Callithrix jacchus: one gene and its partner. The protein of the gene in region 2 interacts with the protein of the main gene of each other region in a pairwise test. Links are inferred from orthologs where the notes say so. Each region holds a gene or a part of one and is shown on either strand. Other genes may lie near its edges.

Region 1 (4,405 bases), on a different chromosome or scaffold from region 2:
ACAACAAAGAGAATCTTAAAAACAACCAGAAAGAAAGACAGCTTACCTACAATAAAATAAGTTAATTTGTAAGCATAGTTCTCAAGAGTAACAACAAAAATTCAGAATTTCGATGAAATAACACTTTCAAAGTGTTAAGAGACAATAATTGGAAGCCTAATACACAGCTAAACTATCAATCAAGACTGAAGGTGAAATAAAGATTTTTTAAATGAAGACAGTGTTTACCACTAACAGATTCCCACCTAAGCAAACATGTGAAGGATGTATGTATCTATAATAAGAAAGGAAGGAATAAAATGCAAGGAAAACTGGACAAACAGTAGACATATATGGGTGAAACAAAATAATCACTAACAATGTAAAACAACACACATTTTAATTGAGATGGAGTCTCACTATATTGCCCAAGCTAGCCAGGAACTCCTGGCCTCAAGCAATCCTTCCGCCTGCTCCTCCTGCCTCAGCCTCCAGAGTAGATGGGATGACATAGCCAGCCACCATGCCCAGATACAAAGTAATAATAATAATTATTTTTTTAATAAAAAAATATGGAATGCTTCACGAATTTGCGTGTTATCCTTTCGCAGGCGCCATGCTAACTTCTCCGTATCATTCCAATTTTAGTATATGTGCTGCCGAGGCGAGCACAAGTAGTAATTATAGAATTGCTCAACATCGAGATGGATTGACTTTGGGAATGGTCTCATTCTAGAAAGTCCTCATTTTGAGTCTGGGCAACACCTTTTCATACGTTTAGTGGGTTAGAGGCTGAATTAAATGACCACACCCTTTCAATGGCAATAACAGCAATTACTTTTGCACCAACCTATATCTTCTGATCATAATTTTATCAATTAGACACAGCTGTCCAAACAGCCCCTGATCAGCTCTGTTTAGCCACCTAAGGAGGGCTTTGCCCTCATCCTAACAGTTCGAGAATTCAAGTCTTATTTCAAGGCATTCTTCCCGCTTCCATATTCCACATGTAAAAAAGAATTCTATGTTCCCTAATGAGCTTTCAGGTAAGATCTTTAAGCTTTTGGGGTGCACAGTTTTTTGCTTTGAACTAAGATTAGGCATTACAATTAGTCATCACTGCTTGAACTTAGGCCAAGAAAAGAGTACTTCGGAAGCTTTCACAACGTGTGTGCTTCTTCTAAAAGAGAAAATACCACACAGAAGCAGAGGGAGAGAGGAAACATACACCCATCCGTGCTGACTGAAAGCTCCTTTACATGATTTTCATGCTCACCCCCGGTTCCCATATATTCACAGCAGTAAAGATCTCCACAAAGTAGACAGGCCCAACTCCCTTACTATTAAAGCTTTAACGACCAGACAACCCAGAAGTTTGGAAACATAGAACCAGCGAACAGATACTAGAGAGAGGGAGGTATGTATTAAGGCAAGAAAATATCATCACGTTTTCAAGAGGGAGTGACATTCCAGGAAAGAGGACAGCTTAATACTTAGGTTCAAATGCCACTAAATGAAAATGGGGGCCGGGCGCCGTGGCTCACGCCTGTAATCCCAGCACTTTGGGAGGCCGAGGCGGGTGGATCACGAGGTCAAGAGATCGAGACCATCCTGGTCAACATGGTGAAACATTGTCTCTACTAAAAATACAAAAATTAGCTGGGCGTGGTGGCGCGTGCCTGTAATCCCAGCTACTCCGGAGGCTGAGGCAGGAGAATTGCCTGAACCCAGGAGGCGGAGGTTGCAGTGAGCCGAGATTGCGCCATTGCACTCCAGCCTAGCGAAACTCCGTCTCAAAAAAAAAAAAAGAAAATGGGAAAGCAAAGTTCCTGTGCCCTTTCAGTCCAGGAAAACACATTATTCCAAAGCAAACATTAATGCCCATTACATGTCGCAAATCCTGCCTTAGCCATTAGGATACAGTGACGAAAAAGTCTCTCATTATCTAGAAGGGCAGACAAACACGCAGAGACTCTTAAAATACCAGATGACAAGTGCTAACTCAGAGGTAAGCAAAAGAGAGTACCCAGAGGCGGGAGCATCAACCCACAATCTTCACACAGTCACATCACTTATAATCATAAATTTGTACCCTCCGAGGTGAGTGTATGAAACATGTTATCTGTGAATAAAACAAAATACCAAAACAAAACAAGCCCATAAAATAAAAAATAAAAAGACCTACCTCTTTTGACCAGGATAACTACCCCAGGAAGTAGGTAAGTTTACATATATGAAAAGTGAGGCTCAAAATACACCGACCAGCCCAAGACAATGCGCACCCCCACAAAGCACCTTCCCCGTCTTCATTTATGCCCAACTGGCAAAACCCCAAGTAGAGCCAACCTCGCATTGGCTACGTAACCCTGGCCAAGCTAAACATTAAAAACCTCGGCCTCCCCATCTTTAAAGTATAACAGGTGCTTAGAGGATTGAAAAACCATTGGGAGGTCATTGTGGACAGTGTAGCTCAGAAAAATGCTGACTACTGCACTACCATAACTACTGCTATTGATAACGATAAACGCTGAAGACTTTCCAGGACCCGACCCCTCGCTTACAAGCCTTTCAGGCACTACCCTACCCCCAAACCCCGACCCCCGTCGCCCTCAGACTTAATTTCACAGACACGCCCCCAAACAGACCCTCCCCTTTATGGCACCCCCCCCGGCTCCTCCCCCTCAGACAGGCGGCTCTCCTAACAAACCTTACCCCCAAATTGTGCCCTTTCGGACTCGGTTACGGAGGAGGCCTTCCGCTCACACCGGCCTCTCCAGCACCCCGGTGCGCAGGCCGCATGCCAGACGCGGGCCCGCGCCGGTTACCTGGCTGCACGCTCCCGCTCCGCCTTGCGATTCCCACTAATCGTACCTTATCCCGGGCTCTGGCCAGCGCTGTGAGCGCACAATTAGTTTAAACTATGGCTCCGCCCCCTCGTGCTGCCCTCTGATTGGCCTCTGTCGGCAGTTGTCTTACGCGGGGCACGCTTGAAGACCCGGGGAAAGGAAGTTTGAGGGCCACTGGGAAAGAGAAGGGGTATCACCGCTTCCGGACCCCGGCCTGGATTTGAAAGCAAAGAAAACTACAAATCCCAGCGCCACCCGCGGCCTTGAAGCTCCGCCTCTGACAAACTACAGGTCCCGGTAAGCATAGCGTCAGTTCTTACGGCGCCTGCGGGATAGTGGCGACAAAAGTAGTTGCTATGGAGTTGCCCTGAGTAACCCTGAGGGACTCCGAGACTGGAGAGGAAGCAACTGCGGGTGAGTCAGGCGGGAATACAGGAAACTCATTCTAGGGGACAAGAGATCTATGGAGAAGGGAGGGGCACCCACAGAACGACTAAGAACTTCCCTGCTGGGGGATCTGAGATTTCCCCCACCTCCCCTCATTCCCTTTCACAGTGGGCAAGACACAACACCCACATGGGACAAACTGTGGGGGCAGAGGGAGGGAAAAGCATTGAGATACAAACCCATACAGATTTGGGAGTGTTTAAGAACTTCCCCCAGGGCCGGGCGCGGTGGCTCACGCCTGTAATCCCAACAGTTTGGGAGACCAAAACTGGCGGATCGCTTAAGGCCAGAAGTTCGAGACCAGCCTTAAAAACATGGCGAAACCCCGTCTCTACCAAAAATACAAAATATTAGCTGGGCTTGGTGGCGTGCTCCTGTGGCCCCAGCTACTAGAGAGGCTGAGGTAGGAGGATCGCTTGAGCACAGAAATTGAGGCTGCCAGTGAGCCGTGATTGCACCACTACACTCCAGCCTGGGCTACAGAGCAATACCCCCATCTCAAACAAAACAAAACAAAACAACGAACCTCCGCCCCCAACACAAACATAAGGCTCCCCAAATCAGATGCTTCAAGTCCCAGGCCCAACCTGGGAGATCGGAAACGCCCTCAGAAATGGGATTTGTTTTCCTCTGAAGAATTTGAACCCTCTTCCAAAACATGTTTTCCTCTGAAGAATTTGAACCCTCTTCCAAAACATGCGATTAGCATTAGATAGAGTAAATCCGCAGTCCCTACCCTAACTCTGGAGATGTAGGAAACTTCCTGGGGCGTGAAGTGCCTCTTTCCTTCCTCCCCCAAACAGTAAAACCTCTTCTCAATTGGCAGGATCCTCCCACACTGTTCCCAGATTCCCTTTTATCCCCACACCTTCTCCATGGTCCGCTTCTCAAAGCTCTAGTTAGTTATATTCTTTTTAGTCCTCACAGATCTATTACAATAAGTAACTTATCCAGCGCTTTCACAGTCTCTCTATTGATACTCTTACCAGCTCTGTTAGTCAAGGGTATTTGTCTTCATTTCACAGATTGGAAAAATGAAACCCAGAGAAAAGGGACTTGCCCAAGGCCACACACCAAATTAGTGACAAAGCTAGAACTAGACTCCAGTTCTCCGACTTTCAGCTGTCTCTTTA
Region 2 (4,484 bases):
AAATCGTAGGCTTATCAAACACCATGTATAAAATAGGCAACCAGGGTTCATGTTACAAAAGACAGTCCAGGGTTTTAGAAAGCATACCTGGGATGGACTTCATTGTCTCAATGATCACATCTGTCATTTCTCGACGGCCGAGATGCTGATGGATAATTGCTGCTTTCTCACCTGGTGACTTCCCTTCTAAACAGGCTACAGCTGAAGCTAGTGTTGTCTTTTTGATCTCCTCATCAGACATTTCCCCTGCTAAAGAACACATAAATGATTAATACTAAGTAATAAAACAAGCTCCTCTTTATTCTCTATTCATCCATTATTAGGTTTCCCTTTTCTTTCTACTGCCTTCCACCAAGATGATAAGAAGCCTTTGTAGTATCCATCTCACTCACCTCTGGGACCACTGTGGAAACAGTCAATAAGTAGCCAGGAAAATATACTCAGAAATGCAGGCTGTTCTACTGAAATCATGCACTTTAATTTTTTGAGACAGTCTCACTCTGTCATCCAGGGGTGTGATCTTGGCTCACTGCAACCTCCTCCTCCTGGGTTCAAGCGATTTTCCTGCCTCAGCCTCCCGAGTAGCTGGGACTACAGGCATGCACCACCACGCCTGGCTAATTTTTGTATTTTTAGTAGCGATGGGGCTTCACCATGTTGGCCAGGATGGTCTGGAACTCCTGGCCTCAAGTAATCCGACCTCCTCAGCCTCCCATAGTGCTGGGATTAAAGATGTGAGCCACTGTGCCAGGCCCAAAATCATGGACTTTAAAGCAAATTGACTCTAAAAGAGAGTCCCTAATATATGCTCTGTCAGGGAAGGGACTATGTCTGTTTTGCCTATCACTGTATTCCCAGCACTTACACCACAATGCCCAGCACATAGAGGAAGCTCTCTTAAATATCTGATGAATAAATGGCTATATGACTGACCCATGCAGATGTCTGTATGTGGCTAATATCAATTTAGCTGACTTTCAGAACTCAGAAACCACTTAAGCCTTTGGAAAGATGCTCATAAGCTGTTAAATCATATTCAATTTTCATTTGCAGCTCCAAAGGTCACATACCCAGGAAGTTTCCAATGACATCATACCTACCTGCCCCCGTCCCTCTCTCCAAACCAAACACATCTTCTTGTAATAGCTTTCCAAACTGTTCCTTCTTTCCTTCATAGCACTTACCACAGTTGTAATTCTACACTTACTCTGCACTTAATTCATGTTTCCTTCAAGAAACTGTTGGTGCCATTAAAGCAGAGACCCTGTCTGATTCAGCATATCAGGAAAGCTCCAGCAGATGTGAGCATGAAATAAGTTATTTTATTTTTATTTTTTTGGAGATGGAGTTTCACTCTTGTCGCCCAAGCTGGAGTGCAATGGCACAAACTCAGCTCACCGCAACCTCTGCCTCCCAGGTTCAAGCAATCTTCCTGCCTCAGCACCTGGAATAGCTGGGATTACAGATATGCACCACCATGTCCAGCTAATTCTGTATTTTTAGTAGAGGCGGGGTTTCTCCATCCGGCTAATTCTGTATTTTTAGTAGAGGCGGGGTTTCTCCGTGTTCGTCAGGCTGGTCTTGAACTCCTGACCTCAAGTGATCCGCCTGCCTTGGCCTCCCAAAGTGCTGGGATTACAGGTGTGAGCCACCTCACCCGGCCCTTTTTTTTTTTTTTTTAAAAGAGTTTCTCTCTTGTCTCCCAGGTTAGAGTGCAGCGGCACTATCTCGGCTCTTTGCAACCTCCGCCTCCTGGGTTCAAGCAATTCTCCTACCTCAGCCTCCCTGGTAGCTGGGATTACAGGCATCTGCCACCATGTCCAGCTAATTTTTGTATTTTTAATATACTCAGGGTTTCACCATGTGTTGGCCAGGCTGGTCTCGAACTCCCGACCTCAGGTGATCCACCGCGCCTGGCCAAGAATTTCTTGAATGAATGTTATTATTAGGTAATTATCTGAGGACCAAGGAAAAGAGCCAAAGCTGCATTCCCCACTAAGGAGCTATGCTACTGGTGTGAAAACCTCAGACTCAAGTCCAGCTCACTGAGTTAGAATCCCAGTTTCACTCACTACAGATAACCTTGGGCAAATCATTTAATCACTAAGCTTCAGTTTCCCAATGTGTAAGAGACACACGCCACACCCATTTACCTCATAGGGCTGTTGCAAAGATAATTAAATAAAATGCACAAAAGGTGCTTAGCACAGTGCTGGGATATACGAAGTGTCCAAATTTAGTTATTACTGTGGTTAGGGGGCACCTCAATGGATATACTTCCAAAAGGGAACAATTTAATTAAACCAAGGACCTCCCAGAGTTGCTGGGGACCCAGTCGCTGCCTCTACGAAGCCTAGAGGGAAGCAAGTGAAATAAACATACCACTCGACTCTCTCGAGAGGGAGACGCGCCAGGTATAGACAGAACGCCCGCAGAAGGCACTGGGAGGGTGGTTCGGGGCAGCGCTTCCCTGAGATGACACACGGGAAGGCCTCTCAAGGGCAGATGGAAAAAGAGGAATCCCGACCACCTCTCCGCTTCTTCCGGAGGCAAGAGCCCTCGCCACGGGCTTTTTCCGGGACAGTGCTTTGCGAGGGAAAGCCCCCTGGGCCCAGACCCGATTACAGGGAAGGCCGCGAGGCCACGGGACTCACCCGCGGCGCTGAAGCCGAAGCCGGCAGGGACGGGCGAGTGTTCCGCGAGCTCCAATCGGATGACAACAAGTGACACACTCATAGGGCAGGCGCTGGCCGGCGCGGGTCCCCGGCTGGCTCAGGAAAGGCTGGGAGGCGAGACGAGGGGCGGAACACCCAGGAGCCGGCAGCGCCGCCGCCGCCTCAGCAGCAGCAGCTCCTCGCAGAGCTCACAGAGCCACAACAACTTCCACTTCCGCCTCCCGGCCGCCGTCGCTGACCGTGGGTTACGCATGCGCGCATCACCGCGCACAACGATTGGGCCGCGCGGCAGGGGGTCAGCCTGGTGTCCTTCCGGACGGGATCTCGAGGAGGTTGGAGCAGGAAGTCTTGGCGATTGCTGTGGCTGGGGTCTCGCGCTTAGGCTGAGCGGCAAGTTTTCGCCCAGCCCCGAGTTAACCTCTGCCTGCCCGAGAGGCCTCGTCCTCAACCCACCTCGTCTGACGGCGCGGGATCCCCGGCTCCGCGAGGTCTCCGAATTGTCCACGCTGTCTGCTATGCAGAACTTTGCCCCTTTTGTTGTGTTTGACTCCTCCCTCTAACACTAGTAAGGGTGGTTTTGTTTCTGTCCCACTTTACAGATAAGTACAGTGAGGTTCAAAGAGGTGAAGTGGCTTCTAAGGAGCCATAGGGAGTGGAGACTCGGTCGCCATTTAGACAGCGATCTGGTCGGGCGCGGTGGCTCGCGCGTGTAATCTCAGCACTTTGGCAGGCTTAGCTGGGCGAATCACTTCAGGTCAGCAGTTGGAGACCAGCCTGGCCAACGTGGTAAAACCCAGTCTCTACTAAAAATACAAAAAATTTAGCCAGGCTTGGTGGTGGGCGTCTGTAATCCCAGCTACTGGGGAGACTGAGACAGGAGATCGCTTGAACCTGGGAGGCGGAGGTTGCAGTGAGCCGAGATAGTGCACTCCGGCTTGGGCAACAAGAGCAAAACTCCATCTCGAAAAAGAAAAAAAGAGAAAAGATAGCGATTTGCTGGTTACGAGCACAGTGCTGGAGTTCTGGGTCCTCCTCCCCACCCTGTCACTTCACAAATGTTTACTGAGAGTTTGGACACCCTTGGGATGCGTTGGCGTATAAGATAAACGTAGTTCCTTTCCATATTGTGAAGTCGACCTACATCAGCATTTGTGCAGTCTTCAACTAGTCATTGCATAAAGTTGGCATGATATCATAACTTCATGCAGTTGTGAGGATGAAACAGAATTATGTATATAGAGATAATACTAACTTTCTGAGACTAAGCATTCTCTGCAGTATGTCAGACTGACTTTTGTATGTAGATATTGACAGACACAATCAATGCATAGATGACAGGATGCTACTCTAGGTACATTCTATAATAATAATACATATGTAAGTACATAGTACATTCTAGATATGTGTATGTGCAGACTGTATGTCTATAACATGACCACAAGATATATGTGTATATAGAGCTTGTGATTACATCCTGTGAAATACGTTTCCACATGCCCTGTTTAGATCAGGGTTTCTCAACCTCTGTACTATTGACATTTTGGGTTCTGATGCTTCTTTTTCTTTTTTTTTAGCCAGGGGTCAGGGTGTCCTGAGCATTGTAGAGTGTTTAGAAACATCCCTGGCCTGACCCACTAGACGTCAGTAGCATCTCTCCCAAGGTGGTGACAACCAATAATGTCTCTGGGCTTTCCCAAATGTCTCTTTGGGGTCAAAAAACATAACCCCAAATGTTGAAGAATCACAGTGTTATGTGAAAGTGCATAAACCATACATACATACTATGTGCATAAAACATATGAGATTCTT

Evidence for each region.
Region 1: the proteins of BRAP (region 2) and NUMA1 interact in a two-hybrid assay, tested with the Homo sapiens proteins (2 studies listed by BioGRID and IntAct). The link is inferred for Callithrix jacchus from reciprocal best matches to the Homo sapiens genes BRAP and NUMA1.

The regions. Positions count from the first base shown.
Region 1 is NC_133511.1:68,865,699-68,870,103, reverse strand, and holds the start of NUMA1 (nuclear mitotic apparatus protein 1), read right to left. Parts: upstream 3,054-4,405; 5' UTR 2,851-3,053; exon of another isoform or gene 2,663-2,850; intron 2,302-2,662; exon of another isoform or gene 1-2,301. UniProt on the Homo sapiens protein: Microtubule (MT)-binding protein that plays a role in the formation and maintenance of the spindle poles and the alignement and the segregation of chromosomes during mitotic cell division.
Region 2 is NC_133510.1:114,545,975-114,550,458, forward strand, and holds the start of BRAP (BRCA1-associated protein), read right to left. Parts: upstream 2,882-4,484; 5' UTR 2,737-2,881; coding exon 2,655-2,736; exon of another isoform or gene 2,383-2,654; intron 250-2,382; coding exon 88-249; intron 1-87. UniProt on the Homo sapiens protein: Negatively regulates MAP kinase activation by limiting the formation of Raf/MEK complexes probably by inactivation of the KSR1 scaffold protein.